3 linked regions of the Schizosaccharomyces pombe genome follow. The protein of the gene in region 3 purifies or fractionates together with the protein of the main gene of each other region. This does not show direct contact. Each region holds a gene or a part of one and is shown on either strand. Other genes may lie near its edges.

The links.
Region 1: the proteins of rix1 (region 3) and mdn1 purify together in Schizosaccharomyces pombe (affinity purification with mass spectrometry, with the first as the bait; one study listed by BioGRID). This does not show direct contact.
Region 2: the proteins of rix1 (region 3) and ytm1 purify together in Schizosaccharomyces pombe (affinity purification with western blotting, with the first as the bait; one study listed by BioGRID). This does not show direct contact.

The regions. Positions count from the first base shown.
Region 1 is NC_003421.2:1,895,199-1,905,869, reverse strand, and holds the start of mdn1 (midasin), read right to left. Parts: upstream 5,389-10,671; 5' UTR 5,367-5,388; coding exon 1-5,366. Other genes in the region: SPOM_SPCC737.07C (DNA polymerase alpha-associated DNA helicase A), read left to right, coding at 5,581-5,622, 5,670-5,842, 5,901-6,137, 6,189-7,719; glutamate-cysteine ligase regulatory subunit Gcs2, read left to right, coding at 8,442-8,546, 8,655-8,799, 8,942-9,524, 9,566-9,596; SPOM_SPCC737.05 (peroxin Pex28/29), read right to left, coding at 10,011-10,671. UniProt on the Schizosaccharomyces pombe protein: Nuclear chaperone required for maturation and nuclear export of pre-60S ribosome subunits.
Region 2 is NC_003424.3:5,003,765-5,014,435, reverse strand, and holds ytm1 (ribosome biogenesis protein Ytm1), read left to right. Parts: upstream 1-5,557; 5' UTR 5,558-5,578; coding exon 5,579-5,729; exon of another isoform or gene 5,730-5,837; intron 5,838-6,010; exon of another isoform or gene 6,011-6,091; coding exon 6,092-7,263; 3' UTR 7,264-7,420; downstream 7,421-10,671. Other genes in the region: nucleoporin, WD repeat Nup155, read right to left, coding at 1-2,359, 2,416-2,520, 2,572-2,704; pxr1 (PINX1 family ribosome biogenesis protein), read right to left, coding at 3,775-4,629; serine/threonine protein kinase Ppk16, read right to left, coding at 7,465-9,315, 9,484-9,533, 9,601-9,694, 9,742-9,765; kinetochore-associated protein Alp7, read left to right, coding at 10,241-10,671. UniProt on the Schizosaccharomyces pombe protein: Component of the NOP7 complex, which is required for maturation of the 25S and 5.8S ribosomal RNAs and formation of the 60S ribosome.
Region 3 is NC_003421.2:430,241-440,911, reverse strand, and holds rix1 (ribosome biogenesis protein Rix1), read left to right. Parts: upstream 1-2,392; 5' UTR 2,393-2,488; coding exon 2,489-4,975; 3' UTR 4,976-5,108; downstream 5,109-10,671. Other genes in the region: rib2 (bifunctional CMP deaminase family methyltransferase/riboflavin-specific deaminase), read left to right, coding at 1-858; hdd1 (metal-dependent HD domain-containing phosphohydrolase), read left to right, coding at 1,252-1,848; gamma tubulin complex GCP6 subunit Alp16, read left to right, coding at 6,238-8,517; SPOM_SPCC306.11 (uncharacterized protein), read right to left, coding at 9,273-10,124.

The sequences.
Region 1 (10,671 bases), 1.5 Mb from region 3:
ACCATGACTTCCAAATAATCAGCAGGTGAAACACATGTATATTTTGGAGCATCATTCAAAAGTTGTAACCAACGTAAAGTATCACGAAGATTAAATTCCCAAGGGCTTCCAAAACTACCAAAACTAATGTCTTTCTCAATATTGTCTTGCAAACGAAACATAAACTTGATAATCTTCAAACGCCAATCCTCATTTACTTGATGATAGTTACATGCTGCAATTTCAATCATGTCCTTTTCTTTAAGAGCCTCAACGTAAACAACCGAAAATCTATTGATGAACGACCTCGGTAAGCCTTTCCTACCGCCACCCTGATGCTGTGGATTTTGGGCAGCGAAAACTCGAAAATTCGGATGAGCTTTAAACACCTTGTCTAATTCCGGTATATAAGCTTCATTACGATGATCAAGACAAGCATTTAAGCCTTCCAAGACTGACTGTGAAGCTAAATTTAATTCATCAAGCAACACCCAATGACCATTACGCATCGCTGCCAAAAAAGGAGCATCACGCCAAGCAAACTGCCCTCCTTCACCACCTTCCACAGGAACGTCTGAGCCGAAAAGATCCATCAAATCTGTTTGATCAGACAAATTTATACGCACCAGTTGATGTCCTGTTTCACGAGCAAGTGCTGTAATAAGACTGGTTTTGCCAACTCCAGGACTACCTTCCAGTAAAATAGGTTTCAGAACCTGCAGAGCCCTCAAAACCTTGGAAGCGTTCATTAAAGTAGTATCTGTATGTAAACTATAAGTCGAATCCGATTCAACAGAATCTCCTAAAGGTATTCCAAAATCACCTATAAAAAATGATGAGTCGGAGAATTTAATTGATATATCGGCAGATTTGGATGCCATAATGTTAGATCCTGCTAACTCATTTAATTTAGCGAAACATCTTTGACGTTCAGCGTGTAAGGATGCCAAATTGTTACTTAAAGAAAAGGTCGTGAAAGAACCAAGCGCATCTATAAAAACCATTGAAACAGCATTAAACAATACCAGATTTAAATCCAAAATTTCGCATGCATTTATAAATTCTACTGCGGATAAGACATCACGAATAGAAATCACATCAGTATACAAGTATTCATTCGCATGCCATTTCGCATATTCAACCAAAGGGCGAGCTAACTCGATTTTGTTGTTATGAAGTTTGCCTTCGACAATTTTAAGAATGTCCTCTGTATCGACCATCGGTGGAACCCAAATTTCGGTAAACCGATTCCGCAACGCTGGCGAAAGTTCCTTCTTACCGTAATCACCACCAGGATTCATAGTAGCAAAAAATGCAAATCCATCTTTGGCAGTAAGAGATACGGCAGCATTACTGTGTTCCACTAAAGTAAGAGTACGAGATAATTCAAGAACACTATTCAATCTCTCCAAAACGGAATCATCGGCGAGACTAATCTCATCAAGTAAAAAAAAGTCGCCTTGCTTCATCGCGGTAACCAAAGCACCGTCATGCCATTCAAACAGAGAGCGGTACTTGATAATCTGGCGTTCGATCAGATTAGATAAATTGTCGTTCTTTTCAGAAGAAGAAAGTTTTTCAAATTTCTCAATGAGATCGTCAATAGAATCCAGACTTTCTTGTACGTTAAATTTTTCACATAATTGTGAATGAAGACTGTAATTTACAGCGGAACGATTCCTTACAGGCCTTTGAGCACCAATTATGTCTCCATTTTCCGTATCTTGATGAGCATTAATAATATGCAACTCTTTGTGCAAACACTCAGCTAGAATCTGACAAACAGTTGTTTTACCACAACCGGTATCTCCAACTAACAAAACGGGTTCTTTTGCTAGTAAACAGCGCCATACGAGGCAAAATAAACGAATCATTGGACGTGTCCAAACAACCTTAGATAAAGGACCCTCTTTTAAACTCATATCCTGGAAGATCTCCATAGAGTCAAGGTTATAAATACCATCAGTGTCAATTTTTACCTTCATAACTTTTTCGATTACTTCTTGCACGGCCAGTTTGTCCTTTTGGTCTCTCGCGCGTTCAGCCAAAAGCATATAACCATTTTCTGCTAACTGTTGGTAGCCGACAGCTTCGCGAAACGCCCATCTAAATAAATCTCTCAAAGTAGCAAAAGAATTTTTTTGCTCAAAAATTCGGGTGGTTTGTCTTCGAAGAGATAGCTCGCGGAATACTTGTACAATCTTTGCAGCATATGAAGGGGCTATTTTACACCGCTTATGAAGAATCGTCTCCAGTTCATTTTCAGGAATGTCATCAAAATGAATTTCTAAGAATCTATTGCGGAATGCTCGAGAAAGATGTTTACGACCAGCATAAACACCAGGAGGATTCTGTGTTGCAAAAAGCATAAACTCAGGATGTGGTTTAACCAAAACTTGTGTTTCGGGTATAAAAAGCTCACGATTATCATCTAAAAGTCTATTCAAAGCTTCTAAAACGTCGGTAGGGGCCAGATTGAGTTCGTCTAATACAATCCAATATCCATTTCGTAAAGCTTCCACCAAAACGCCTTCCCTAAAGCTCAATGACCCGTTATCATCAGTAACGTAGGTGCCAATATATTCCTGTAGATCAGTGTGTTCGTGATTGTTTATTCGAACAAACTTATGTCCAGTCTTTTTAGCTACATATTCAATCATACTTGTTTTGCCACTAGAAGTTGGTCCTTGGATTAAAATTGGAAACATCCTAGTAGAACAAGCTCTAGCTATGTTTAATAAATTTTTTTGCACAAATGGTGTTATGATATAATGCTCTTGTTCCTCTACGGGGAAAGACCCACGTCTCAACCAGTAATGGCAAAAAGCAATATAACTAGAATGATCGGGTACTTTAGGGATTTGCTTGAGTATTGCATTCTGTTGATCCCTATTTAGCTCACCTAGTGTGAAACGAACCACATGGTTGTACAATAAGCTTTCACTAGTATGGTCGAGTAACGTCAAAAAAGACATACAAAATCCCTCATAAAGGGATCTTCTCAATCCATAAATTGGAGCAATTTCCGTTACATACGACAAAGTTCGGCTCAATGTTCGAACGGTATAGTGTGGTCTTTGACCAGCTCCATCAACAAGAGAACCATCGAGAGAAAGACTCTTTGCAACTTGATATAGTTCAGCGACCTCTCGGATAACATGTTCATTACCAATACAAAGAGAACCGATATACTTTTGAATGATTGATAATAAATCATCTAAATTTTGATCGGGAGAATGAACATATATTTCAGTAAATCTTGATCGAAAAGATGGCTCAAGTTCACGTTTTCCAACATCTGTAGAAGGATTCATACAGCCAAATAACCTAAAATTTTTATGAGGAGTAATTGGAGTTATATCGCCACGTTCACTGAGAAGTATACCCGATTCATATGAGCTTAAAAGTTGGCCAATAGGTTCTAAAGTCTCTAATGATGCCAAATTAATCTCGTCTAGTAATACCCAGTGTCCGGAACGAACCGCCTTCACCAAAGCACCCTCAACGAAAGAAAACATGAAGCCATTGGAACCTCCCGTAAGAACTTTTTCAAAATCTTCAACCTCTTTCTCAAATTTAGCCCACTGATTTCGAAGCTCAACCTGATTAGATAAACGTTTTTGTCTTTTTTGAGGATTAGGAAGAGGTTGTTGACCATCAAGAACCGTTTTAGACAATTTGCAAGCTTCTTTCCAAATTTTTAGGCAAGTTTTCCAACGAAACCGTCGTGCTGACGTTGATGCCATGGATATAAACTTAGCATTTTTCTTGGAACTAAAAGTTTGCTCAAATATATCTATAAACCTCTCATGCAATGGAAGACCAAGTGTGGAAGCGTTGATAGGTTTATAACCGCCAAGCATATCAGAAGATTCCGTCTGTTGAGACATATTAATTACAGTAACTTTCTGACCTAACAAGCCAGCTAAAAGTTGGATAGTAGTGGTCTTACCAGTACCAGTCTCACCAACTAGAAGCAATGGTTCGTTTGTTTGAACACCTGCAGCCAGCTGTTCCAATAAGCCAAGAGATGAAGATGTGAAAGCATATGAATTAGTGGAACAAGAACGAATAGTAGACAATTTCTTAAGTGAACATCTACCTATGTTTATGTTATGTTCCAAATTTTGAAATACAGGAATAGAATATCGTAATTGTAAAGCCTTTTCAGGTGGTATATTTAACTCTATAGCGACGTTACGCACCACAAGATCAAAACCGTCTCTAGAAGGAATAAACGCACCAAACATATCGATAGCCTCTTTAAAAACTGCATCTTGGAGTTCTTGAGATATGACTACATGGTCGGAAGGGATCATAAATTTGTGATATAGAAACGCAACCCTTTTAATAAATTTGTAGAAATCACGCAAACACAATCGACGATATATTTTTGAGGTGGCAAGGAACGATCTTTGTGAAAAAAGATCAAATATATCTTTGTAAACAGAGTACAAAGTAGGACAAATGATTGATAAAACAGGATATAGAGTAGATACTACCTCAACACATTCATCTGGTTGATAAGTCAAATCAAGTATCTGCCATAATCGTTGCCCAAGAATCTTTGTTTTCATAGATGATGTAGCAAACATTTGAAAGGATCCTTTAGCATATATTGTTTCACCACGTGAGGGAATTACGAGTTGCCTTTTTTCGAGAAGAGGAAGCAAGACGCTAAGCACTTCAGAAGGTGCGTGCTCGATATTTGTAAACAAGATCCATTTTCCAGTAATTACAGCTTGTGTCAACACACCAGGTTGCCACTCGAATTCTCCAGGTTTTGGAGAGGTATATGTTCCAATCAACATTTTGGGGTCTGTGGAATCGCTAAGATGAATACGAATGATCTGTTGTCCCAATTTCGCAGCAATTTGTGTGATTAAAAACTTTTTACCAATTCCTTCTGGACCAGCCAGAAGAATTGGTCTTTTTTGTACCAAGTAAGGAGTTATGCGATTTAAATTTTCCTGTGTACTTTTAGTTAAAACTAGGGAACAAGGAAGCGGCACGTGAGAGTTAAAAAAGACATTTCCCCCTAGTTCAACAAGAGGTAAATTGGATAATCCAGCGTCAAATAGTAAATTCTTTAGATGTTCTGCTCTTTCAGAGACCGTCCAAGAAACAAAAAGACGATGAAGTTGGGATATTCTTTCATTTTCTAAAACAAAAACTTCACCGTAAGTCTTTGTTTCTCCATAATATTTGACTTTGCAGGTTTCACGAATTTCGTCCGATGCATACAAAAACCAAACGTCGTAGTCAATTTTTGACCAGGGTTGGTGCAAACGCAAACGTTGCAAAGTGTTGCTTGGAACGTAATTAATATGCTCCAAAATATCATATATCTGAGGGTATATTGCAACCCACTCAATCAACACATCCATCCCCAGTGTGTTGGTAGAGTTTAGGCTGAAAACTGCCGCCTTGAAAATTATTCACCAACACCACGAACATCTTCTAGTGGCCAGAGAATAATGAAATGAATTTTGATATCCAAATTAAAAAAAAAAGCTAGCAATCAGTAATTAAATTAATAAAACCGTACTTTTGGGATTTATCATTTACGTTTGAGTAAGCGTTCACTCACACAGAACAAGCATGTCTAGTTCAAATGAACAAATTTGTTTGGACGAAGATTGGGTAAGTTTAATACTAATATTATAACTTTATTAATTAATAATGGTCAGATACAAAAATTTGGGGATAGGGAAATTGAATTTGTGGATGAAGCTCAAAAATCCGAAGTTGATGAGACAGAAAAGTCTATAAAACGCTTTCCGTTGTCCGTATTACAAAGAAAAGGATTAGCACTTATCAACCTTAGAATCGGAGTTGTAAAAACTGGATTTGGTGGTAAAACGTACATTTAAGCATTCGAAACGACATAATGACTCTTTTTTAACTCATTTAATTTGTAGAATCATTGATTTTGAAAAAGATCCAGCGTTCTCCAATGGTGAAGAATTACCAGCAAACTCTTTTTCACCTGGTGATGTTGTCAGTATTCGACAGGATTTTCAATCCTCCAAAAAAAAACGTCCCAACGAAACAGATATCTCAGTGGAGGGTGTGGTTACCCGAGTGCATGAAAGACATATATCTGTTGCTTTAAAGTCTGAAGAAGATATTCCTTCTTCCGTCACGCGTTTGTCAGTGTAAGTTTTAATCAATGTCTCCTTACAAAAAAATGACTGACAGTTGAAAAGCGTCAAATTGGTGAATCGCGTTACGTATGAAAGAATGAGACATACTATGTTGGAATTTAAAAGAAGTATCCCGGAGTATCGAAACTCACTTTTTTACACCTTGATTGGAAGGAAGAAGGCAGATGTTTCTATAGACCAAAAATTAATCGGTGACATTAAATATTTCAACAAAGAATTAAATGCAAGCCAAAAGAAAGCAGTTAAATTTTCCATTGCGGTCAAGGAATTATCACTAATTCATGGTCCACCAGGAACCGGTAAAACCCACACCTTAGTTGAAATCATACAGCAGTTGGTTTTAAGAAACAAGCGTATTTTGGTTTGCGGTGCTTCCAATTTGGCAGTTGACAACATAGTAGATCGCCTAAGCAGTTCTGGGATTCCCATGGTCCGCTTAGGGCATCCTGCTAGGCTCCTTCCATCGATTTTGGATCATTCTTTGGATGTTTTATCACGAACGGGTGATAATGGAGACGTAATCCGTGGAATAAGCGAAGACATAGATGTATGCTTAAGTAAGATTACAAAAACTAAAAATGGTAGAGAGCGTCGTGAAATTTACAAAAATATTCGGGAACTTCGCAAAGATTATCGAAAATACGAAGCTAAGACGGTAGCGAATATTGTTTCGGCAAGTAAGGTTGTGTTTTGTACTCTTCATGGTGCTGGATCGAGGCAGTTAAAAGGCCAAAGATTTGATGCAGTGATAATTGATGAAGCTTCACAAGCGTTGGAACCACAATGTTGGATTCCTCTTTTGGGAATGAATAAAGTGATCCTGGCTGGCGATCATATGCAACTTTCACCAAACGTACAAAGCAAAAGGCCTTATATATCTATGTTTGAACGATTGGTTAAATCTCAAGGAGATTTGGTTAAATGTTTTCTAAATATACAATATCGAATGCATGAACTTATTAGTAAATTCCCGTCTGATACATTTTACGATAGCAAATTAGTTCCCGCTGAAGAAGTAAAAAAACGCTTACTTATGGATTTAGAAAACGTCGAAGAAACTGAACTTACTGATTCACCAATTTACTTTTACGACACCCTGGGGAATTACCAAGAAGATGATCGATCAGAGGATATGCAAAATTTTTACCAAGACAGTAAGAGCAATCACTGGGAAGCTCAGATTGTTAGCTATCATATATCAGGACTACTAGAAGCTGGACTTGAAGCTAAGGACATAGCAGTTGTTACTCCCTATAACGCACAGGTAGCCCTTATACGACAGTTATTAAAGGAAAAGGGAATAGAGGTTGAAATGGGCAGCGTTGATAAAGTGCAGGGCCGCGAGAAAGAGGCAATTATATTTTCTCTAGTCAGAAGCAACGATGTTCGGGAAGTAGGGTTTTTGGCAGAAAAGAGAAGACTCAATGTAGCCATCACAAGGCCTAAAAGGCATCTTTGTGTAATTGGGGATAGCAACACTGTAAAGTGGGCTAGTGAATTCTTTCACCAATGGGTTGATTTTTTGGAGGAAAATGCCATTGTGATGGATATTGATGCAACCATGTTTGAGTAAACTTAAATCAGATCGCTTGAAGAAAGTTTTGTTTATTTAATAAAATTACTGGCTTACTAAAAAACGGAAATTTTCGCTTTGTTCATCTTTGTTTAATTAGCTACAAAGATTTAATAAATCAATTTTTCAGCAACTTTGCTTCTGCTCCACTAGCGACAAGAATTTCCTACTCGTAAAATTTACTAAAGATGATACCTAGTATATATTGATATATATGGGTATATATATAACATTTAAGACGATCATAGATTTATGTCTAAAAGAGCTTGGTGAAATCATTATTTTTACAGAATAATCAAACACTATATTGTTACACAATCCATACTAGCTCCGAAGGATCAATATTAATCAGTATAGAGATTTTATATTTGTTTCGTAGGGTTTGGAACTGCTGCAGATTCCTTTAATCGAGTATTCAGTAAATGGAGTTAATATTGTCGATGAAACGAGTACCGATAACAAGTGTTCGTGTAATTTCAGTTTTCTATTAATTATTTATGTCGTAATTTATTTTTAGTATTTCAATAAAACATTCATTAAACTGTTTCTCAGTTGACATAGTCGGTTGTTAGTATTATGAAATTAAATGCATGTATTTGTCATCAACCATCACAACATTCAATTAACTTGGTTTATTGCAAACGCTTAGATTTTTCCTTTGAAATACGTTTCTGGAAGACGTTTCGGTTTAAAAAGAATACTTCAACTTATTTGAAAGCAAAATGATTCAGAACGAGAAAAAACACTTGATTTTGTATACTGGAGATGTGACGAAAAACTTAAAGTCTGGCATTTGGAATGCTTCACGTATAAAATCAAATTTAGAAGTAAGCAAATGATGAATTGGACATTCAAACGAGTATCGTACTGCTTGGGTTTGGGCAGAAATATACTTGAATATTTGTAGGCATAAATGTATTCTAACATATTTCTAGTTGGTTAAAGCTCTAGAGAACGTTAAGCTCACGAAATTCACGGGTGATGGTGATGAAAATTTGAAGAAAAACATTAAAGTCTTGGTTCCAGTAAACGAAAAGCCTCAAAAACTAGATGGGAAACAAGAGGAGTATGAAATTATTGGTAAGTACCGCAATTTACCATTGATAAGGGAAGGGAATGAGTTGGAATACACGAGTTCTCTAAATGCTTTTCATTATAGAACACTCATCTCAATGCCCTAATCACTTGGAATGTTTTGTACGGGATCACTAACTTTGCGTAGTAAAGCTTTTCTTTTTGGACGGTGAGAACATAGACATAAAAAAGAGGGAAGAGACACTGTCTCAGGTGTTTTATAATTTACATATGCTTTTTGGCATTGATTTTGTTTCCACACTGGTGGTATCTTTTCCTCATATAACTTTCTTAAAGGAAAGTGGTAATAGCTCTTCTAATGAAATTTACGATTCAATTGACGAGATACCTCCGCAAGAGATTCAGTCCTGGGTTGACACTTGGAAACTATTAGAGGAAAAAGTAGGGGAAGGCAAGATTGGCACTTTAGGCGTTAGTGAATTTGGTGTCAATGAGTTGCAACGACTAATTTCTTCCGTGAATGTCGTTCCTGAATCCACCCAAATTAACATAGGCCAAAATTGTAAACTACCAAACGACCTATTGAATTTTGCTGATCGACATCATTTGAAGTTATTTTTTCATTCTGATCCTTCTGCTCTTTTAAGCGAAAGTGAAATTACTTCTGTTATACATAAAGCCTGCCCGGAAATTCCTAATCCCGCACGTGTGGATTGGGTTATTCGATATACTATTCTGACAAGGCATACTGCCGTTATTCATCAAAAGGGGTAAGAAAAAAATTGTCCTAGCTATAATGACTAATATTCAGGTATATTGTTCAAAGCACTTATACCGAGTAATCGCTTTTTATCTAATTAAAAAAGAACTTTTTGTTTGTTTTGGCTACCATATCCACGTTAATGTATTTTGTACCAACTACTGAGAATTAAGCAAGAATATCAAACGTGTTTGAAAGGTTCTAAAGATATCCGAACAATAATGTCCTCTACGCTTCGAATCTATAATAAGTGAATTATAGCTTTGGCACCAAAACAGTTAGACTTTTTTTTAGTAGTGGTAGCAGCACAGATCGAATACTAGCAAACAAGGGGGGGAAATAATATGATTTTGATCTTGTTCATAATGATTACATAAATTTTAATAAATAGTTAAACAACAGACAGTAAAACAGTTAGACCACACCTCTAACTAATTACGAAACATATAGTACACAATGGGTTAAAGTCCTACAACCAATGTTTGCTTTAAGGCCTTCACAAGGGCAAATTTGATCCGTGTGACGATTTTCTGTTCATCTTTGGAGGTTGGGGACTCCATAAGATAAATCTCCGAAATTCATTAGGAGGTACAAAAGTCCAGTCGCTTTGAGGAGCCCAAGAATAATTCTCTGGCGGTTCGACCAAATCCAGGGAGGTCACTGAATTCTCCGGATTGAATTTTGGAAATGAAGTGTAGCGAGTAGTTGTTTGCGAACCGGAAATGTCAACGTGCCTCCAAACTTGGGCGAGCTCATTTCGAATTTGAAGATATGGCACATGGTCTCGTTTAGCAGAATAAAACTGAATGAGATAGCTTCGTAATTTTGGGTGAAGAGAAATTAGACCAATCCAAATAGCAATTGGTAAATAACGGTCAATTGAAATGCGCAGGTATGCCAACAGGAATATGAGAACTAAAGAAACTAGCAGTCCAGATGAAATAGCAGAGGGAGTAATGTGGTGATAATAATTTTGTCGAAAATACAATAGTTGATCATAAGAAGAGCTGTAAGAAGCCATGAAATTTTGTAAATCTTTAAGATTTGTGGTAACGTCGTGGGTCATACTTATCGGCATCATTGTCAAAAATACCAAGAGCAAAATCGCCGAAAATGAAACTGGATGAAGATACAATAACGTGATCGTAAGTCCCAAG
Region 2 (10,671 bases), on a different chromosome or scaffold from region 3:
ACTGCTAAACGAAGGTCTTCGGGAGTAAAGACATGTGCAGCCTTTTTAAAGAGGGTGTAGGATAACTCTATAAGAGATTGTCGCTCTTCAATGTCGACCGTATCCTTAGCCTTTTTTAAAGACTCCACGGCTTTAAAAATTAAAACATCATCAGCGCTGCAAAAACTTCCACACTTTTTACGTAAAAGCTGACTAACCATATCAATATTCCCTCCAGACTGCAGATGCCTATTGACAAGAGAATTTACGAGTTCCTTAGTTACTTCTCGACCCCGTTTCGAAGTAAAAAACTCACCAAAGGTCATGTTTGAACACGATTTTTGAATATCAATGGAGGTAGAAGAAACAATTTCATGAAAATCGGATACACCGGTATCGTTTAAGAATAACAAAAACGATATCCCCTCAACAATTTGTTGGAGGACCAAGAGCAATGCAGACAAAGCTCTATGTTCAGCTTGTACAGCAATTTCATCAGCAACATTGGATGAGCCGATGAGGGTATTTGGGCTATTAAGGCCTTCAATAAAACTTTTGTTATTTTCAAGGAACGTAGATAAATATAACAAGCCAGATTGTATTTTTAAAATTTCAGTAGCGTTAAATGCGGGCGCGTAATGGATACGTTTATTTTGCATTTTTTTAGCTATAATGACATGATTTTTCCAAACATTTCTAATAATACGCGAAATGGAGGACGCCAAACCATCATGACAACCAGACAAACGAACGAATTCTAAAGAAGAAGAATCATACTGGTTGTTATAGCGAGATTGATCAATAAAAGCTTTACCGCCAAACTCAATATAATATTTCTTTACTATGTCCAAAAGATCCGCTTGTGCAAGTTTAGTAGTGGAGCCAGAGAAGTTTGCTGCAGCATGACTAAAATCCCCCTGATCAAGACATCCACTTACAATACCCAAACAAGTTGCACAACCTTCAGCGCGACCAACACTCTCAAAAAACAGTTGAACTTGGCCATCGATTCCGGACGATAGGGAAGGTCCCATACGAATAGCAGAAGCGAGGACATCGATCGGACGACGATGAACTACCACGTAAACCCCTGTATTCGTAAGTATGGCAAAAGTAGGAGGAGGTGTGTTAAATTGAGAAACCAACTCATTGCGTTCTCGAGAATTTTGAATGCATTTAATATCTTGTACAAAACCCTTAATAGGAACGTACATGGAAGACTCTATGAGAGACGGTTGCGTACCACTCTGCCAAGCATTGGCAATTCTACCAACTTCAGGAGCAGTACAACAGACGACGTCGCCCTCATTCGTATTGGAGGAGCTTATGGCGAAAAACAAATCGGATGTATAAATATTACTCAGAGAAGAACATTTCATAGGAGTAGTTTTTACAGCACTTGACCTTTCAGGTTGTTGTTGAGATGTAGATTGATTTTGCAGGAAGAAAGGGTTAGCAGGATAATTGCGGGAAGAGGCATAATTCTCCACTTGCATAGGAGGAGGAAAACGAACGAAAGTAAGTTGTAAAGTACTAGGAGGTGTGGACGACAAAGTCGAATTAGACGGTGCATAGTGAGAAATGGGGCCCCGGCCACCTCTCATGTAAAACCGACATCCTGTAGAGGTAATTGCGACACAGTATATTTGCTGTGATTCATATGCTGGAATAGGAACTATGGAAACTATTTGAGTAGTCCGAGGATCCAATAAGGGAGAGGTTGCATTTAGCATTTGAGCTTGAGAGATCATAGAGCTGAAAGAATAAAAGACACAACGATTTACGCCGTTTTTCGTAAGTTCATAACAAGAAACAGAAGAGGTCTCTCGCAAAACATAAAGCAAGCTACGGGAGTCATCAACAGCAATCTGCTTGATGCCATCACCATGAGTACCAAAAGAAAAGAAAGAAGGAATAAAATTATCAAAAACAGAACCGGTAATATTAATTTTGCTGCATCTACGAGAAAACCAGCCTTCTTCGAGTTGGTAAGAAAATTCATACAAATTGGGATCTTTGTTTCCGGAAAAAAAAATACGTCCATCCTCCGAAGAAACGATACAATTAACATTAATCCCTTGAACAGATATTTGGATACCAGTTGAGAAGAAGGATAATTCACCAGTTTTCTCATCGATTGTAACACCTAATAAGAGCATTTCTTGTGAAGTTGCTATTACGAGTAAATGCTGGATTTCCGAGACGAAAACATTGGCCTTTGGTCTCACTAACTTTACATTGACAATGGTATGAGATAAATCTTCGTAAGCTTGAAAGTTTTGACCCGAAAGATAATCCCATAAGAACAAACGGTTGTCCACAGTTATCCAAGCACGTTGGATTTCAGCAAAAAGCCCCATTTGAGTAAAACATTCCGTACCTAAACCGATGATAAGTTAGAAAAGTTACCAAGGCGCATAAAGTTCGTTTACTTACGATTGTATTGTTCAAATATACGGTCAGGAATATTTACAACAGAACGAAGGTAAAACGGCTTCCAACCACTCAGAACTTGTGATATGTATTCTGGAGCGTGTACTTCTAAAAAAAAATAATTAGCCTTCAGAATTGATCAAACCTGCTTCAACATACGACCAATAATGTCTCCTAACTCTGGCAATTTTAAATCACGCTCCGTTGCAGCTTCAATCGCAGCATAGCCACGTGATAGAAGTTCATAAATACCATTTTCAGTCGATGAAAATGATGGATCATTGATGTCCATTTTCCCAAGCTCCAAATGAAGGACAGCTGGAAATGTTGGCTGCTGGTGCGTTTCGACCAGGCAAGGTATTCGTTGGTACAAACACGTATGCCAGAAGTTAGTTGCTTGAAGTTTTCATCTAGCAAGTTTTAGAAACATAAAACAATAGGAAAAATACTAAAAGACACATTTAAAAATACGATGTTCCCACTTCACTCAGTTATTCTTTTTGAGTAGCACTATAAATTCTCTGAAGCGCCGTAGCAGTTTGATATTAACCATATACTTCAACAATGAGTTTATAAGAACAACGCAATAATATTGCGGTTGAAATTGTAATTGTTAATCATGTGTAAGTGCAATACATAATTTAAGAAAAAAGACAGTTGCGAAGATGATTTCTTGATAGGGACAACAGATTTAATTATGTTGAAAAAAAATCGGGAAAAGATAGTAGATATATATTGCTGAGCATTACTGTGATTTTTCTGTATTCACATACTATTCTATTTTTACTGAACTATACTAACTTTCTCTAGCAGGAGATCTACTTTTAAATTGGTGGTTGTACTAGCTCGAGTAGTTTTCTTTTTAGACTTCCTTTTGTATGGAAACGTGCAATTTAATGCATGTGAATATAACCAGAGTTTTAGTGATGGAGGAATAGCCTTCCGATCTCCATAGCTTAATAGAAATGTTATTTTTAACTAATTCTTTGTATGGCATATGAGATACTTCGATTGGTATGTGTGTAAATGATTATCGTAACTTTAATGAATGTTTAGTAATGTAAAACTTTCAGGATGAAGTCGTCAATATTTTTACCTAAAATCCCGTATTACACAAACCAGAGTCATAAAATACGAACGCGATTACTCTCAATAGCTGATTACAATACGACATAAGTAGCTTTTCGAAATTACAAGCCCGAATCCAGCAATTTCTTCCAAAATCAACTAAATATTACCTTCTATTAAGACATAGATTAAAAAACCGACAAACCCTTCCTCTTAAAGTATTGTATACCCATAACTTCTAAGACTCGTTTATTATATTCCGCAAGTTAGAAAAATAGCAAAAGAAGTCACTTCCTAACCTTTAATACCTAAAATCTCCCTTAAAGCAACTGGGTCGCTTACTGCTGCTCGCTTTTGTGCCAAAAATTTTCTTCTGGTATGGAAATGAATGCTAGCGGGTCGGTTGCCTTCTTTGACCTTCTCGACAGAGGAAGTGGACTCTGGTTTATCCTTTAATTTTATTTTCTTTTTCTTTTTCTCTTCTTTGTCGCTTGAGCCTGATTTTCTCTTTTTTGAAGAACTTTCCTTATCCTTTTTCTTGTGCTCTTTTTTCTTCTTCTTCGTTATTTTTTCCAACTTTTTAGGATCAAGAGCCGAACCAGTAGAGGTCTTTTTCTTACTTTTCTTCTTAGAAGAGTGCTTCTTTCTTTTTTCACGCTTAGCTTCATCGGATGAAGACGCATCTTCACATACACGATCCTCATCCTCCTCTGCTTTTTGCATCCATTCAGAAAATTCACTAGTAAACGTCCCACCCAAAACAAATCGTCTGGATAGCTCAAGTGATTTTAAACCCTTCTCATTCGCACTCTGTCTCTCGTATGTTAGTTGCTGCACCTTTGCTTTCTCAGCATAGACACCATACGCAGACTCATCGCCGTTAAGTCGACCAAAAATAGCGTTGAATTCACCTAAACCGCTCCATTCAAGATCGTTAGTTGCTTTGGCTCCAATTCCCAGTGTATCATCTTTTAGGCTGACCTTGATGTTATGAATGCGACCATGTTGCTTTTCACCCAAGCCATTACCATTCACCCAACCGTAGGAGGATAAAAGCTTAAATCCCAATCTATTTGTATCTTTTGCCCATTTAGAATTCCGAGGATCCACACCAATCTGTTGTTTCTTTTTTACACCAGCCAAACCCATGATGTCCTGTTAATCTTCAATAAAATTTTTTTTTTATCGACGATCAATATGTGAGAGGACAAAAAAGAATGAGAATAAATTATAAGAAGTAATCAATTGTAAGAAATAATTAAAATTGCGAACAGCGCAAAGTAATATACATAAAAATATGTAGCAGCCTGAGTCCTAAAATCCCACCAAATCCTAGAACCGATGAATTCTTTCCCAAAATAAAACCTTTTTCGAGGATAGAATCAATTGAGTCTCCTCTTCTTTTATAAAAATATAAACACACGATAAATCAACGATCTAAACAAAGTCTTCTCGCTAATTGAGAAACTCTCCAAAATTTCTCGAGTATTGCACTCAAATTGGTGAAAAAGGATAAATTGATAGATCTTTATTAAGTTTTAAAAAAGAAAAGTACTGGTTCTTGGAATTTCTTGAAAAGTGGTGGGCTCAAGAAGGGAATATATGCAGTTGGTAAACCGGCTATGTGTTAAAAGCGCTATAGATGCTTTCAAAGGCATAATTGAAATCTTCTTTCAAATAACGTGAAAGCATTCCAAAAAATTACAATGTTATAATGAGCTGTAAATAATACCGGTCAAATCATCATTTAAGTCGTTTTAAAAGAAGTATTTCAAAAGACGTTAAATCTTACAATTCGAGCATACTCTGGAAAAAAATAAGCTTTAAAAAAGTTTATCCTTTTACTTTTAAAGCATACTTTAAATCTTCTAATATTATTTTTGTTATTCTTAGATTTTGTTCAACTGTTACTTTTCTACTCAAAAAAAAAAGCTGAATTAGGACCGCTATCGATGAATACGAATTGGGTTGATTAAACTTGAAAATTCTTAAAAAACAGTCTCGTAACATCTTGATCAATTCAGCCAAAAGTCATTATCCTCATTTTTTTGGTACTGGAAATTTTGATCTTTTCGACACTCCTTCCACCAACAACAGAATGGATGCCCAAAGCGCTCCTTCAGGCCAAGTTCAAGTCCGTTTTACTACTAGAAATGAGGATTTAGCTGTTGGTGACACGCCGATTTTTGTTCCTACATCTTTAAAGCGGTACGGCTTATCTCAAATTGTAAATCATCTTCTAAAAACAGGTATGTTTTCAGTTAACACATACTGGGTCAAAGCAGGAGAAAAGTCGCATAATTCAACCAACTTGAAGAAAATTTGAAGCAATAGAATAGCTGGTCTCATGCAAGGCCCAATTACTATAAAACTGTGTAGAAGCTGAAATTTGTTGGCGAGAATCAAATGGGGGCTTCTCGAATCTAAGAGTTACTCTAGTGTTCTTTTTCACGCCTTTCTTAAAATTTTGTAAAATTCTTGAAGATGCATTACTAAAAGCCCTTTTTTTATTTTTTTGTCTCTTTTACCTTTCATCCTCGTTTTGCTTCATTGCTATACAATTTTGCGATTTTTTAGTTAATTTAATTTATTTCCTTACTAACTTTACTAGAAAAGCCAACACCCTTTGATTTTTTGGTTCAGGGTCAGCTGTTAAAAACTACTCTCGATGAGTACATAGTTCAAAACGGATTGTCTACGGAGTCGATTCTTGATATTGAATATATCCAATCTACATTACCACCTGCATATTTAGCTTCTTTCTCTCATGACGATTGGATTTCTGGTATTCAACTAACCTCAGATACCATTCTTACTTCTTCATACGATGGGATAGCTCGTGTTTGGGATAAAAGTGGTGAAATAAAATTTCAATCAACTGGATGTGGATCATCTTTAAAAAGTGCATCCTGGCATATACCTAATCAAAGTTTTCTCACTGCTTCACTTGATCAAAAAATTTTTCATTGGGTGATCGAAGAGCCAGAATCAATGTTGGATGCTGAAAAGAAAAGCTCCGGTATCCTTCAAACTCTTTTCGTAGGGCACAAGGATATAGTTGAGCGCGTACGATCCTTAGAATCTTCAAGCGTTTTTATTTCTGCTTCTGCGGATAATACTGTCGGAATTTGGGATTTTGAAAGGTCTCCTGAGACTACCCTCGAGTCCTTTTCCTCGTCTATATCTAAAAAGAGACGTCGCAAAAATGCAGAATTCACACCTCAAGCTGGGGCTCGCTCTCCGCTGATCCTTTGTGAGGGGCATACTGGACCGGTGATGGATATCGTCTTTTCTGATGATCCAAGTGTTGCATATTCCGTAGGCCAAGATCACACAATTAAGACTTGGGATCTCATTACTGGGCAAAATGTTGATTCCAAGATAACCAAAGCTCCTCTTTTATGCGTGGAAAAACTTACTGACCTACACTTAGTCATTTGTGGTTCCTCTGCGCGACACATTGTTGTTCACGACCCTCGAGCGGGAAGCGACAAAATTGTGAGTCATACTTTATCCGGCCACAAGAATTTAGTTTCCGGATTATCGGCAAGCCCAGAAAATCCCTATATGTTTGCATCCGTCTCTCACGATAACACTTGTCGTGTTTGGGATGTCCGTGCTACATCCGGCAGTATTTACACAATTTCTAGAGCAGAAAAAACAGGCTCTCAGTGGGATAAACTTTTCGCTGTTGATTGGAATAAATCCATTGGTATTGTTACGGGAGGTACTGACAAACAACTTCAAATCAATCAATCCTCATCCTTTGGAAAAAGCGAATGAAAAAAGATGTAGCATAAAAAAAATTGACAGATTATGATTTAGTGTGGTACAAGCGGGATAAGTTAAGGAACAAGGTCATTACTACTAGAGATTAAAAGTTTGATTAAATTATTTAAGAGAACACTTTATTAAAGCAAAATAAGTTAATAATTCAAATTATACACACCACGTAGCTTAGTAATCGTGTAATAAACTTAAGCTTCAGAGCAAGTCTGTGAAATGTTTTGAAGAGTCTGAAAAACTGGTTTCTTCCGGCTCCTCTTCCTCTTTGACTGAGCTTTGATTAAACATCAGAGAGGAAGATGATTGCGGGTTTTTTCTACCAGAACCAACTGTAAAAATTGCAGTAGCATTTATACGAGTGTTAAATGGCTCTCCGGAAGGAAAATGGAAACTTTTGTGCAATCGTTCAAAAGGAGAATGAAAAGGTGTTTGCCTTTGAACGGTCGAACTGGAAGGTTTAGATGAAATAATAGAAATTAAAGAATTTGAAGATGCAGAAGAGACGTTTGAATAGGATCTAGTACGGGATGAATTCCTCGAAGAAGCAACGGAAGAACGCCCAGACAAGCTGCGTATGGGAGTTCGTGATCGTCGAGTCGGCTGGGGAGATATGACAGTATTTTGCAGAGGAGAAGGTGGAATATCAATATTAATTGAGAGGTTCGAACTTTTAGAAGGGCTATTTTGAGAGTTCGAGGGGAAGGTAAAGTCTTTATTACCGTCGAGGTTTACCGTTTTTAAAAGAGGAGGAGTGAATGGTGTGTTTTGCTCACCTGTATCAACGTGCGTTGTTTGAGGAAGATTTGAGTGTCTTCTTCCAAAACTGTTAATCGAAGGAAACACGGTAAGGTTCTCAACTGAATTGTCTAAAGACTCAGATAAATTATCGGAATCAAAATTTTCTTGAGTTAAATAGTTTTCAGCCGAAGGACTAGGTGTTCTTGGTCTAATTGCTGATGAGCTTAACGTATCAGCAGTATGCTTTTGTTTAGGATCGAATAACCAACTACGAAATGTAGAAAGCAAAGAATTACTTGAATCTGACGATGTATGCCGACTTTTTAAAGAATCCTGATTGTTGGACATAACAGAAACTTGAGCGGTTTTTAATGATGGAGTTGCTGGAGCTATGTGTACAGCCGAAGATGAACCTTTATGTAAATGAAACAAACCTTTCTTTTTTTTGTTTTCCTTACGCATTTCTTTTTCTAGTAATAAAAGCCACCATCCATAGAACATGTCACAGCGCTGTTGTGAGATGCTGGCATTAAGTTGATCCATGTCAACACCAACAAATTCAAGCCTTTTACGAACTTTTTCCTCTGCTTTCGAGGAAGGCCTTGGGTCTCGAATAGAAGATGAATGATATCCATTTTCCTTGAAATAGGGGTGAGAGATGATTTGATCGATAGAGGGTCGAAGTCGGTAATCCTTGCAAAGGAGGGATTTCAACAAGCTTGAAGAGTTTTTGGAGAGTGTTTCAGGATATTGAGGACATTCATTGATAATTTTTTGCTCAGTTAAAGATACATCGTCCTCGTCGAACGGGAGCCTTCCTATTAAGAGAGCGTACATAATTATACCCAGAGACCATATATCAACGCATTCACCAATATATTTATGGCCCTGTACTAGCTCCGGAGCACAATAAGCAACTGTACCACAACGTGTGTTCATAAATGTTCTACGGGAACAATCAGAATCTCTAGAAAACCCAAAGTCTCCAAGCTTAACATTGTAGGCTTTATCTAGAAAAATATTTTCGAGTTTAAGGTCACGGTGAACACAGCCTTGTCTATGTAAATACTGAATAGCACAGCATAGCTGCCACATGATACGGCAAGTGGTCTTTTCATCCAGCCTTTTTTCTCTCGCTACCCAGTCATACAATTCACCATTTGGACAATACTCCATGGCAAGATAAATTCGGTCTTCGGTGCATACTACTTCATAAAGCCTCGTGATGTTTGGATGAAGAAGACGCCGATGATGATGAATTTCTCGAGCAAGGATAATCGCTTGTTTCCTGCAAGATGATTTCAGGACAACCTTTAATAAAAATGTTAGCAAGGTACAATCAATTTATTGATGAATAAAACGTTTATCATTCTCATAATGTAATCAACCGACTTTGGAACGGTCAATATTCGCAATTTACGAGCCGTTTATTCTTCTTTTTATAACTTAGAGACATAGTAATCTTTGAATAACCCATACCTTTGTATTTGTCAGTAAATGAGCTGCCAAATAAACTTTTCCAAAGCTGCCTACAACCCATGCTTGTTAGATAGCCGTCCAGTATTGAGCGTTCACAATAACACAAAAGTATCGTACCTTCACCGACAACACTCTCAATGCGATATGTACCGACATCAGAGATACGAGGATTGCAAATTGTTGCAATTAGGTCATTGTATGAGGCCGATATCTGCCATTCATTAGATAATCACGATTTCCCTCTTTTCATATACATACGTTTGCCTTTTCATTTTTCTTCATACTAAAATTTGGCACACATAATATCAAAGGTTGACTTGCAAATTGTTTAGTGTTTACAGTAGGATACTTTGGTGTTATTACAAAGGCTTCGGAGAACAAGCTACCGAAAATTCACCGAGAGCTCGGTGAACTCTTCCCACTCTCTCCTTACTCAGTGTAAACCAGTATGTATGTGCCTTTTATTTACACCACCATTGTACGCCTAGTGTTGAATCAAGACGAAGAATTGAGGGCAATAAGGGGTTATTTATTGGGCATTGTATGACTCAAGTTTGTTATTGAACCATTGTTCTACGTAGGCGGACATCTGACCAGTTTTCAAAAAGTAAAAATAAAAGTTAGCTACTGATCGTTAACTTTGAAACGATAATACCAGCTGTAAAATATTTGAAAAAGGATTTTCTTGTGTATTTATATTTCATATATCTGTTAGTTCTTTATATCGTTTGACGATTTTAAAAAGTCATAACCGAAAATGAGTGATATCGTTTCGAGCTCTACAGATTACAGTAGGAGGTCTCCCTCCTCATCTAGTATTGGGACAAATGAAACTGATCATACGGGTTTTCATGAAAAAAGGCAAGGTGCCTCTTCAGAATCATTGATTCCTCCAGCTCAACGAAGTTCAGAGGAATCCATGCCTGCCCCTAAATTATTCCCTAAGTTAACTTCTAAACCCAATCCACAGCTGAATTTAAAGGATACTCTTAATAAGCGAGTAAGCGATCGACTACAAGCCTTAGAGTTGAATAAATCTTTTGATTTTTCAGGAACCCCTAGACCGATGCATCCCATATCCCATCCTTTGTCACAGCATAAAACGCCAGAATTTAAGCATAGAAAAAGAAATGTAGAATCTATTTTGACGCCGAAGAATCCTTCTTTATTTTCATCGTCCAATGCGGC
Region 3 (10,671 bases):
GTCGCTTCAGATAAACAATTGTACCTGAAAAAGATACGAGAGAATTTAGATCAAAACAACGCTTCTGATGTTGAAGTCCATGAGTTGGATTGGAAATCTACACCCTATCCAAAGGACTGGACATTTGACTTTTTGGATTATGTGCTTTTCTTTGATTGCATTTATAATCCTCATCTTAATGCCCATCTAGTTTCCTGTTTAGCATCTTTAGCAGAAAGATATCCTGGGATGCAATGTTTGTTTGCTCAAGAACTACGTGATCAGGAAACCCTTGTTGATTTTTTAGAAAGAGTACGACCTTACTTTGAGGTTGATCTTATTAAGATGGAGGAGATAAACAAAACTTCGGTAGCTTCCTCAACAAATCTTCCACCTGCGAATATGTCCTTATTTATAATGAAACCTTACAACCATGAAGAATATATGCTAAAGGCCCTCAACGAAGCAAAGAAATGTGAGCCTACTGATTCAGCATTTTGCGTTGGCGCTGTTATTGTACAGAATGGAAAAATCGTGTCAACGGGCTATTCTCGTGAACGACCAGGAAACACACATGCAGAGGAATGTGCTATAGAAAAATTTATGCTTAAAAATCCTACTGATTCTTTAGAGGGCGCTATAATGTACAGTACAATGGAACCTTGCAGCAAGCGGTTATCAAAAAAAGTGTCTTGTACAGATCTTATTGTTAAGCAAAAGTTTTCTACGGTAGTTTTGGGATCTCTGGAGCCTGATATATTCGTAAAATGTGAAGGTGTGGATTTACTCAAGAAAGCTGGAATAGTTGTTATCGAGAAACTGACTTTTCAAGACGATTGCTTACGTGAAGCAGTTCGTGGTCACCCCCCAAAGCACTAATTTTATTAATTTTTTTTATTCTTTAAACATTTAGACGACGTCGCTGGTATATGACTATCAACCCTAAATTATCGTTTTTCTGAGAGACTATTTAGGCCATGCATAGTTCATCATTTTTTTTGATCATTAAATTAAAATAACACGAAATTCCCCACATAATGATTTCTTTTTTCTATGATTTCTAAATCGAAAATAATTTCCTTCTTTGCTTTCTTCACTTACCCTGAGCAAATACCACCTGCGTTGGCCTAAGTGGCTGATTTGTATAAATCTGCTGTTAAAAACTTTTTGGATTTCTTTTTATTTTTGTGTTTTTATAATATTTAATTTGGATTTATCCGTTTTATACTCTGTTTTGTTTTTTTCAGAAAAAAATTTAACTCCCCTTTCAAAATGAATGCAGCCAAATCTTTATCTATTGTTCCATTCTTAGATTGTTTGTCAAGGCTTAAGACTACTCCACGTACTGGCTGGCTATATCATGGCATCGAAAAGCCGGAATCCATTGCCGACCATATGTATAGAATGGGGATTTTGACTATGTTATGTAATGACCCAAGCATCAACAAGGAACGTTGTCTAAAGATTGCCGTAGTGCATGATATGGCTGAGTCAATTGTTGGTGATATAACACCTCACGAGAATGTTTCGAAAGAGGAAAAGCATCGTATGGAGTCGGAAGCGATGGTTTCTATCACCCAGCAACTGATCCCCTTAAACCTTTCCTTACAAGCTGAGGAGATTAAAGAGCTATTTTTAGAGTATGAGTCTGCTTCCACTCCCGAAGCTAAGTTTGTCAAGGACATTGATAAATTTGAAATGATTGCTCAAATGTTTGAGTACGAAAGGAAATTTAATGGTGAGAAAGATTTGTCACAGTTCACTTGGGCCGGTAAATTAATTCAACATCCTCTTGTTAAAGGTTGGCTCAATGATGTGTTACAGGAGCGTGAGCAATTTTGGGCTTCGGTCCGTCAAAAGAAGCTTTAACTGATAAGAAAAGCGATACTTTCCCTGTATTTAAGTGTGCAGTTGAGAGAAACAGTTAAGAAGAAATATTTCTTAGGAATTCGCTCTAGTATCTTCAAGGCCCATTATTCAATATACCAATAGTCTCTCTTTTTTTTTATACATAGATACATTTAATAGAAGTTCAACATTAGAGCTTAGTTTAATGGTGCTATCTTCTGATATGTTTTTACTCTTCAAATGCTTTACTTTTCTAGGTTCTATCATTTACGTTCTCCCAACTTAGCTAAATATAACTTAAATACATCTACGATTAAGTCTTGTTTCTTTATAATTATTCGTTCAATAAAAAATGAATTCTTTACAGCACATTTCAAGAAGTTCATAAAATCACTTTGCTATCTGAATTTTTTTGTAGACTTAAGCTTTGAGGTAATTTACATTCCTTGGTCATTATAAAATACTAATATTGAGTTAAACATTCTCAAGTTTAAAAGGATTTTACTTCTCAAAAATTTTTAACCTTTTCTCCCTAGCAAGACTTTCCTTAACGCACGAGTAGTTCAGAACCTACACCACAAGCTCGAGATTTAGCAAGTAATTTCTTTAAGAAAACGGAAATATTGTTTTTTTGTTACTCCGTTGAATAAAGAAATCTTAGATGAGTGATTTATTAGAACGTGGCTCTCTTCCTCTTGTGAAATCTTGGTTGGCAATAACTTTTGCGAATGAAGAAGACTTACCATTTCAGGTGCCTCAAATAGCGGACATACTGGTACATCAAAAATGTATCGAAAGATTAGGAACGAGTGAAAATGCTCTTTCCGTTCGCAAGAATTGGTGCACGAGTTTAACAAAAATGTTACAATCAAAAGACTTTCGTATTCGCTGGTCAGCTATTATTCTCATTCACTGCACTATTTCTCAAAGTTGGGATTGCTTAGTAGAGCATGGAGCTACTTGGGCAAAACTTTTAATTGCTTTGTTAAACCGACCAGAAACTCCTAAAACATTGGAGATTGCCATGATAACCGTATCAAAAATGTTTAGCTCTACTGTAGGAAGACCAGCAGTTACAAGAGAATTGGTGACTCCTAATTTACCCACATTTGTGAATAATTGCTTACGAATCGCCGAATCTGGGAAGTGTCTTTGTACTGTTTGTTCTTGTTTGTATCAAGGGATCATCTCGCATTCACCTACCTTTCGTCCATTTGTTTCCTCAATAAGGAATATTTGCATTAAAATTTTAGATGGGGAAGAAGTAGTCCCTTCTTCATTACAGAAGAAAGCAGCTGTTCTTTATGCTTCGTTGTATCGATGTGTGGGGAAAGGAAATTTTGAAGACTATTGGAAGCAAAGTATTATTTCAATCCTAAAGGAATATCATCTTACTTTGGATTTTTTGTTTCAATTTGTTATAGAACCGCAAACATACCCAACTCGTGAAGAGAATTTGATGTTTCCAAAACTCAAAGGCCACTACGAAGAAACTTATCAGAAAGCTTTACACAGATGCAGAACTCTAAACTTGATTTTAATTTCTTTTTTAAGTACAAAGACGGATAAAATCGTTTTGCTTCCCATAAATGCTTTGAAGGATTTAATTCAACGTGTTTATACTGTACAACTTTCATTGCCTGTTAAAAGCGTAGAAAGTTCAGTTCAAGCTTTGCTATTCATGGTCCTTCCTCATTTGCATACGCTAGTTAATGAGTTAACCTTAAAGCTTTTTGTGGTAATTCCTCCAGCTATCATTCTTTCATTTGATTCTTACCTGGATTCATTAAATGATTGTTTACTTTCTGAGTCAACACATACTGGGGTTTTATGCTCTTCTTTAAAGTTACTTTCAAAGTTTTTGGATGTGACACATATGAATGTCCCTCTTTCAAAATACGAAAATATTGTAACGCTGGTATTAGAATATCTTGCTAATTCCTCTAAAGGTTTAGCATCCAAATCCATAGAGTTCTCTAAAAATCGTGGGCATTCTCAAAAAAAGCGAAAAACACTTTCTGAAAGTCAAGCAGGAGATACACTTATGAGTTCGGAAGAGTCTCATCAGCTTTATGATTCAGATGTCATGGATTGTTGTTTTTCTTTTTTAGCATCCATTTTGACTCATTCAATAGCATTACCACGTTTATTACGGACCAAAATAGATCTTTGCACCTTGCAGATATCTTTGTCTAACCCTACCTCAACAGTTTTGATATCTATGCATAATTTACTCCTTGCGTCAATTTTATCACCGGGAGATTCACAAGCAGTGATAGTACCTCATGCAATACGTATAATTTCTGGTCCATTAGGGCTTGTACATCCAGATCCTCTGGTCGCTTCACACGCAAGGTCATCGATGCAAACAATAGAATCGCTGATTCATCCTAGGTTCCCACCTTTGCAAAAACATCTTTCACCAAGCGAATTTGAAAATACGTTTGAGTCAAGATTTGAGCCTGTTTCTCTTGAAAACCAATCGCATATTTCTCCACCCCAGGTGGATTCTCAATCAGAGTATAAAGAAAGTAGTATTTTGGCTCCATCAAATCCTCCCTTTGAAACAGAGTCGATTACAGATTCCACTGAAATTGAAGGGATCAAAGAGTCTTTTGCATCTACAGATACAGGCTTACAGAATAATTCTACAGCTACCTCCGAGAACAAAAGAAGCGAATCAGAGCTGACTATGTCTAATGTTCTTTCTAATGAGGGTGACAGAAATGAAGAAGGTAGTGAAATCAACTCTTCTCAACCTTCAACTATTAATCACGGGACTGATCACATTAACATTGTTTCGGAAAACAAGGAAACAACTGTTTCACTGTTGCATGGAGATGTTGAGGTTGAGGAGACTACAAATGTTGCATTAAACAATTCTCAGGACACTGAAACCAAATTTACTGCTATAGACGTTGACTTTGTTGACCGACCTACTAGTGTAGTTTCAAGCCAAATTGAAAACATAAATGGTGATGAAAATGGAAACACAACTTCTTCAGTCGTCGAAACTTTTGAAAAAACAACGGATGTCGTAGATGAGAAAACGACTTCTATTAATGTGGAAGGAAACGGAGAAGATGATGAGGAGGAAGACAATATCTCTTTGCCAAGTATAAACTTGGAATCTGATAGTGATAGTTAGTCTTAATTTATAAAAAGGATTTGGGGGTACTGAATGTTTATTTTAAATTCTATTTCTAGATAAGTAGGTTGTCATTTAATCCAAGCTGATTTTTATAAAGTCCTGTATGTATTATCGTCATGGCAAAAAAGGTACATCAAGCTGATATTTGGAGGTTAAAATCAATTGATTTTGACCTCCAGAATACATTGCTTATGTGTTCTCCTTTTTAATTAGCTAAATTTTCCAGTAATACAAAGTACAAAGTCTTGTGTTATCCGCAAAAATTTTTAATTAATCATTTTTATACCATTGGTGTCACAAAAATCCCGATTATTTTAGAGTTAGACTGTCGTTTATGTTTTTTGAGAAAGAATTAAAACAACTTATCTAGTCTAGTGTTTAAAAGAATTTTATACTGTTTCATTAAGAATAATGAAGATATCCCTTTCCAAAGGCAAAAGAAAAGTCGATAACTATATAATGCAAGCTTCTAAACAAACTTGAATTAGTGATTGCAACATTTCTTTTGCCAACAATATTTAAATCCTTCATTGCTTGACACATGGTTTTATGAGAAAAATTAAGAAAGAACATTAAGTACTTCAAATAAATTTGTTGAAGGATCCAAAATTCTCCAAATAGACTTTTTTTATATGAAGATACCATTCATTCAGCTTTGACTCGCATGCGAGCTCTCTGGACAATAAACGATCAAGCCAGCGAGGTATACTGTAACCATAATATCACGAATAGTACAATAAACTTTTTTTTAAAAAAATCTAAATGTACTAACCAGAGAAGCATAAAAGAGCTCTTATAGTTCCATAAAGGATACGTTTTATCCACATAGCACTCTCTTAAAATTAAATGCTGGAATGTCGTTTTGGATAGATTATGCAATTGTGCAATAGTAATTCCTTAACAACTGATAGTTTTTGTTCAATTTATCATTCTGTTTTATTCATCCTGGATACCTTTAACTCCATGTCAGTATTTTCTGTTGTACGGCCACGAGAGTACGGATTTTTGAATTGGTTTCAATGTTAGGATCAATTACTAACGTTCCATTTCTTAGTTTAAGAGACGCATACTTCATTCACATCTTCTAATCCTGACTGTTCTAGATAAGAAGTCATCTTAATTCGCTACGTTAACAACATTATACATTAACTACACACATATTGCCAAATTTTAGTAATTCATAACAAGAGTGTTTTCCAGTAAAGGAGTTGGATCTTGAAATGTACCACTAAAATAGATGATTTTGAAATAAAAATGGAATGGATGGAATTATGAAAAACGACTTGTTATGGTTCGGCAACCACGTTTTCGACCTTACGCCAAATTCATTTGATTCTGATTTTGTCGAGCAGCTTTCGAAATTTGAGGGAAAAGAAGGATTGAAGAGGAAGTTATTTGACTCCTCGGAATACTTTCAAAACTTTTCATTTCAAGTAAACGATGATCTGTTGGGAAAAGATGTCATTCTCGATATTTCAAATCAACAACTAACACCCGCTGTGCCTGGGTGTGAGACATCATCCAATTCCAAACTCATAAGCGCATCTAAGGAAATTACTTCAGAAAGAAAAAGAGCTAAATCCTCAGTGTCCCCCTCTTATCTTACAGATTCATCACCCAGCGATTTATCTGTCGAAAACAAAGTTCTGCTAACATGCCCTAGCTGGGATGGAGAAAATTTTAAAAATTTAGAAGCTAGATCTCCATTCATATCTGAAGCGCCTTCTCGGGTATATGATTATTTTCTTCATAATCAGGATTGGAGTCCGAAACCATTATTTTCTGCACTGCAAGTTTACCCTTTAGCAACTATTTTCAATTGCGTGGCTGGTTTACCACAAGGATTTGAAAGCACAGTGTTTCCATGGAACAAAACCTCAAGCACATTTGAACTCGATCCGACCATCTCCGTTTCAGGAATGTCCGATGAATGTTTTGCTAGTATCGTCCAGAAATTTTCTGCAATTGGGGGTTTAATAAAAAAAGCTTTAAATGAATTCTCTTTATACAAGACCAACATTTCTTTTTATTTATCAAATTTCATTGTGAATGGTGTCTTGCAGTATCGAAAGGAGTTTCAGCGTTGGCTTCGTCTTTATGAGTTCCGTAGATTCGGTCTGATTGGTTTAAGTAACTTTGTTAATTCTTTTTCTTCATTCTTTGAGTTAATTTCACACTTCTTAATAAAATCGGCTCAAAACCTAAAAGGAGATTCCTTGTTAGATTTTCTTTTTGATTATGCGCGTTCATGTCAGAATACCATATCTTACCCCATTGCCCTACAGTGCTTGATATATTGCTCAAATCCCTACTTCAAAAGGCTTGAGCTTGCTTTAAAAGTTTCTTGTGCGTATGGTCACATTGATTCTTCATTGTTCTTATCACTTCCCCGTTTTTTTCCTTCTGAACTTTGTGTAAGCATTGAACAGTGTATTCAATTTTTGTCATTAATAAGGGAACAAAAAGAAATATTTAATAAAAACAACAAAGAATTTATTAACCCTTTGAACATTCGGTTCGCATATTCTTTCAACGACATAAATCAAGCTTGTGTAATAGAGGAGCGCTGCAACTTTTCTTCGCTTTCTTTTGGTAATTTGGAACAAACTTCCGTCAATAATGACAGTGAAGAATTTGAAACGCTGCTTGCTAAAATGAACATGACTCCAGATTTCAACGATAATTTATTACAACTTAAATTTACAGATGATGTGCGCAACGTCTGTCCGCTTAACTTGAATGTTTGCTGCTGTATTGCTGAGCCAATACAATCTTTTATTCTCAGTTTCTTACGTTCGACATATAAAGTTTTAAAAAACGATTTTCAGGTGTTTGATCTTTTAAATTTTTTTCATTCCACTTTTCTTTTTCAAAATTATGAATTCTCTGATAATGTCATTTCTCTGTTAAAATCAAGAAGGCTTGATAAATCTGACCGTAATGAGTTGGCTGAGGACTTGAACTCTGATGACAGATATAATTTTATTTCTCGATTGAAAAAATTCATTTTTATGGAAAAAGAAAAAAATGGGTTGAGCAGGTCTTTATCTAAGAGTATAACTTTTACATTGGATTCTGCGAGCGTTAGTGAATTTGAGGATGTGTACCCTGATTTACAATTCCAATGCCAAGTAATAGGTGCTTTACGGATATTATTTACTGATAACTCTTTAAATTATTATTCGAAAACTTTTTCTTACGTTTTACATCTCTTTCAAGCTCAATCAGACTTTGAATCATCTGTCGAATTGAAAGATCGTTCTATAGTAACAAAAACAACTATTATGTCATGGTCTAAGTATCAAGGCACGAAAGAATCTCTTTTTCAGTTTCTTTCAATATACATTCCAGAGTGTATGTTGCCTTTTACGAAATTACTGAAATCCATATATTCTCCTGACTGTCCTACGAACATACAAAATTCTGCAATTAAAAATGCGGCTTCAGTTCACGAGCAGTGCACTAAAGCAATTTATCAAAAGGTCAAAGAGTTGTTTGATACCATGAAACTCTGGGAGTCATCCATCAAAGTGTCATAACAAAAAACCAGATCCGGATGACGGATTTTTACGAGTGTAAACATGCTAATCTCACCTTTAAGTTTGAAGAATATACGATTTTACAGCAGAAAAAAATTTATAAGCACAACACTTACAGAAAATTCCTTGCATAAAATGATAAAGAATGTAAAGAAGTATTTGGATAAATTCATGAGTAAAGTATTTACTAGAGATATATCTTAATCTAAGTTTAAACAACCTGTGCCAAACAAAAGGAAATTAATTTAACAAAGAAAGGGATGAAGAATTAAAAGGAATCAAAATAGAAATGAACAGTCAAGCTTATGATTGATTGTTTGAAGATCAAACATATCAAGGTAAAGTGCCATGATCACAGGAAAATACGCAATGTAGTTTAGTAAGTTATTTTGGTGCAAAAATATATGCGCTTTAATGGTGGAACATACCAGTATGTCCCACTTAATTTGCTCGTTCAAAAAATGCATGCAAAAAAAAAAAAAAAGATACAAATCTGTAAATACCTCACGCAAATATAAGAGTGCAAATAAAGACATGTTGAGAAAAGAGTAGAGGCAAAAGCCAAAAGATAAAAATCTTACTGGACGCCTATCACTTTGGTGAAGTTGAGGGTAAACGGACAAGGAATGCATGAAAAAGGAAGGAGGTAAGTGATAATTTAATGTTAGCAAGGAAGACATGCAAGTAAGGAACAAGTGCCCATGTTCCTTATTTTAGATTTTTTTTAAAGAAAAAGGGAATCTATGCGAAATCCTTTACCACAAGAAGGCATTGTCACGGTAGTTAAAGACACTGGTAATGTTTGGATTTATTTTGGAAGTAGTGTTAACAATAACATGGTCATCGGCAACAGGGATACGACTGTCGTTGGTATATACACAAATACCTTGACCTTTATAGCCAATATTACGGCAAGTAGCACCACCAAATGGAGTGCGCAAAGCAGAGTTACAATTAACGGGGTATTGGGTGCCATTGAAGCAAGTGTTAACCAAGTAAGGGTAATCCGTATTACACAAAGTCATGTTGCAAGACCAATCCATTGAGGAATCACGAGTGAATAAGATGGGTTGATCAACAATGTTGGTATAGCTTAAAGATATACCGGAAGAACGCTTGCTGTGAGTGCTCGTACTTCCCGAACTAACGGAAGTGGTCACGTTGATAACATTTGCATTGTCAAAGTTGGAAGAATTAGCGCTAGTGGAGTAGTTGGAGGATCCGATCTGACAAAGACCGCGAGTTAGTCCGTAGGAAGAATTGGTTTCAACACATGCGGAACCACGACCCTTGGGATAACCAAGCACAGTAGGGCAGTTCAAGAGAACAGTGCTATGATTAGCGCAAATGGCAATTACATCGGGTGAAACACAAAGGTTGGAGCCACTTACATGGCAATATGTACCTTCCGAAATATTATAATAGGAGGTAGAAGCTATAGCAGAACTCAAGTCAGGAAATGTGTCAGTTGCACGCTTATATAAAGAAATCTCACGCCTTTTACAAGCAGGAGCACCTGGTATGCCACAAAGCTTGATGGACGAGACATAGGAGAACGAGCAAAGGAAAAAGATGGCCGAAATCGCAAAAGAGGCAAATGCAAACATTTTTTTTATAAAATTAAAATGTGAGAGTACGTAAAGTAATTTTTGGAGACGATAATTTTGAGAACGGAAAATGCAATTGAAAATAGGGGGAAATAATGGAACGAAAGGGATATCAGATGAATAGAAAATGTAAGGACGATAAGAATATATGGAATAAAAATGTAGAGACGATGAAGTCTTTTTGGATCGATTAAAAAGGAGGAAAGATGAACAATGATAATAAACTCAACTACTTCAAGGAGCTTTGTCAAACTGAAGCACCCAAACACTGGGACGACGTTTTACAAAGTAACTTAAGAGAAGGAAGACAAACGATGTAAACAAAAGATGTTTTCAAGTGGAAAACAGCCAAAATGCAAAGACCAGATTTTATAGCAAACCGCAATGGGGAAGCAGATCGATGTTTATATATACGAGTTTAGCCTCGTTCGTTAGACGATCCTGACATCATTTGTTTACAGTGGCAAGCTGGAGAAGCAGCCAATCAGCGTTGAGAATGTTCATCGCAACCAGCCTGCGTCACCGTGTAAATAAACAAACTCGGAGG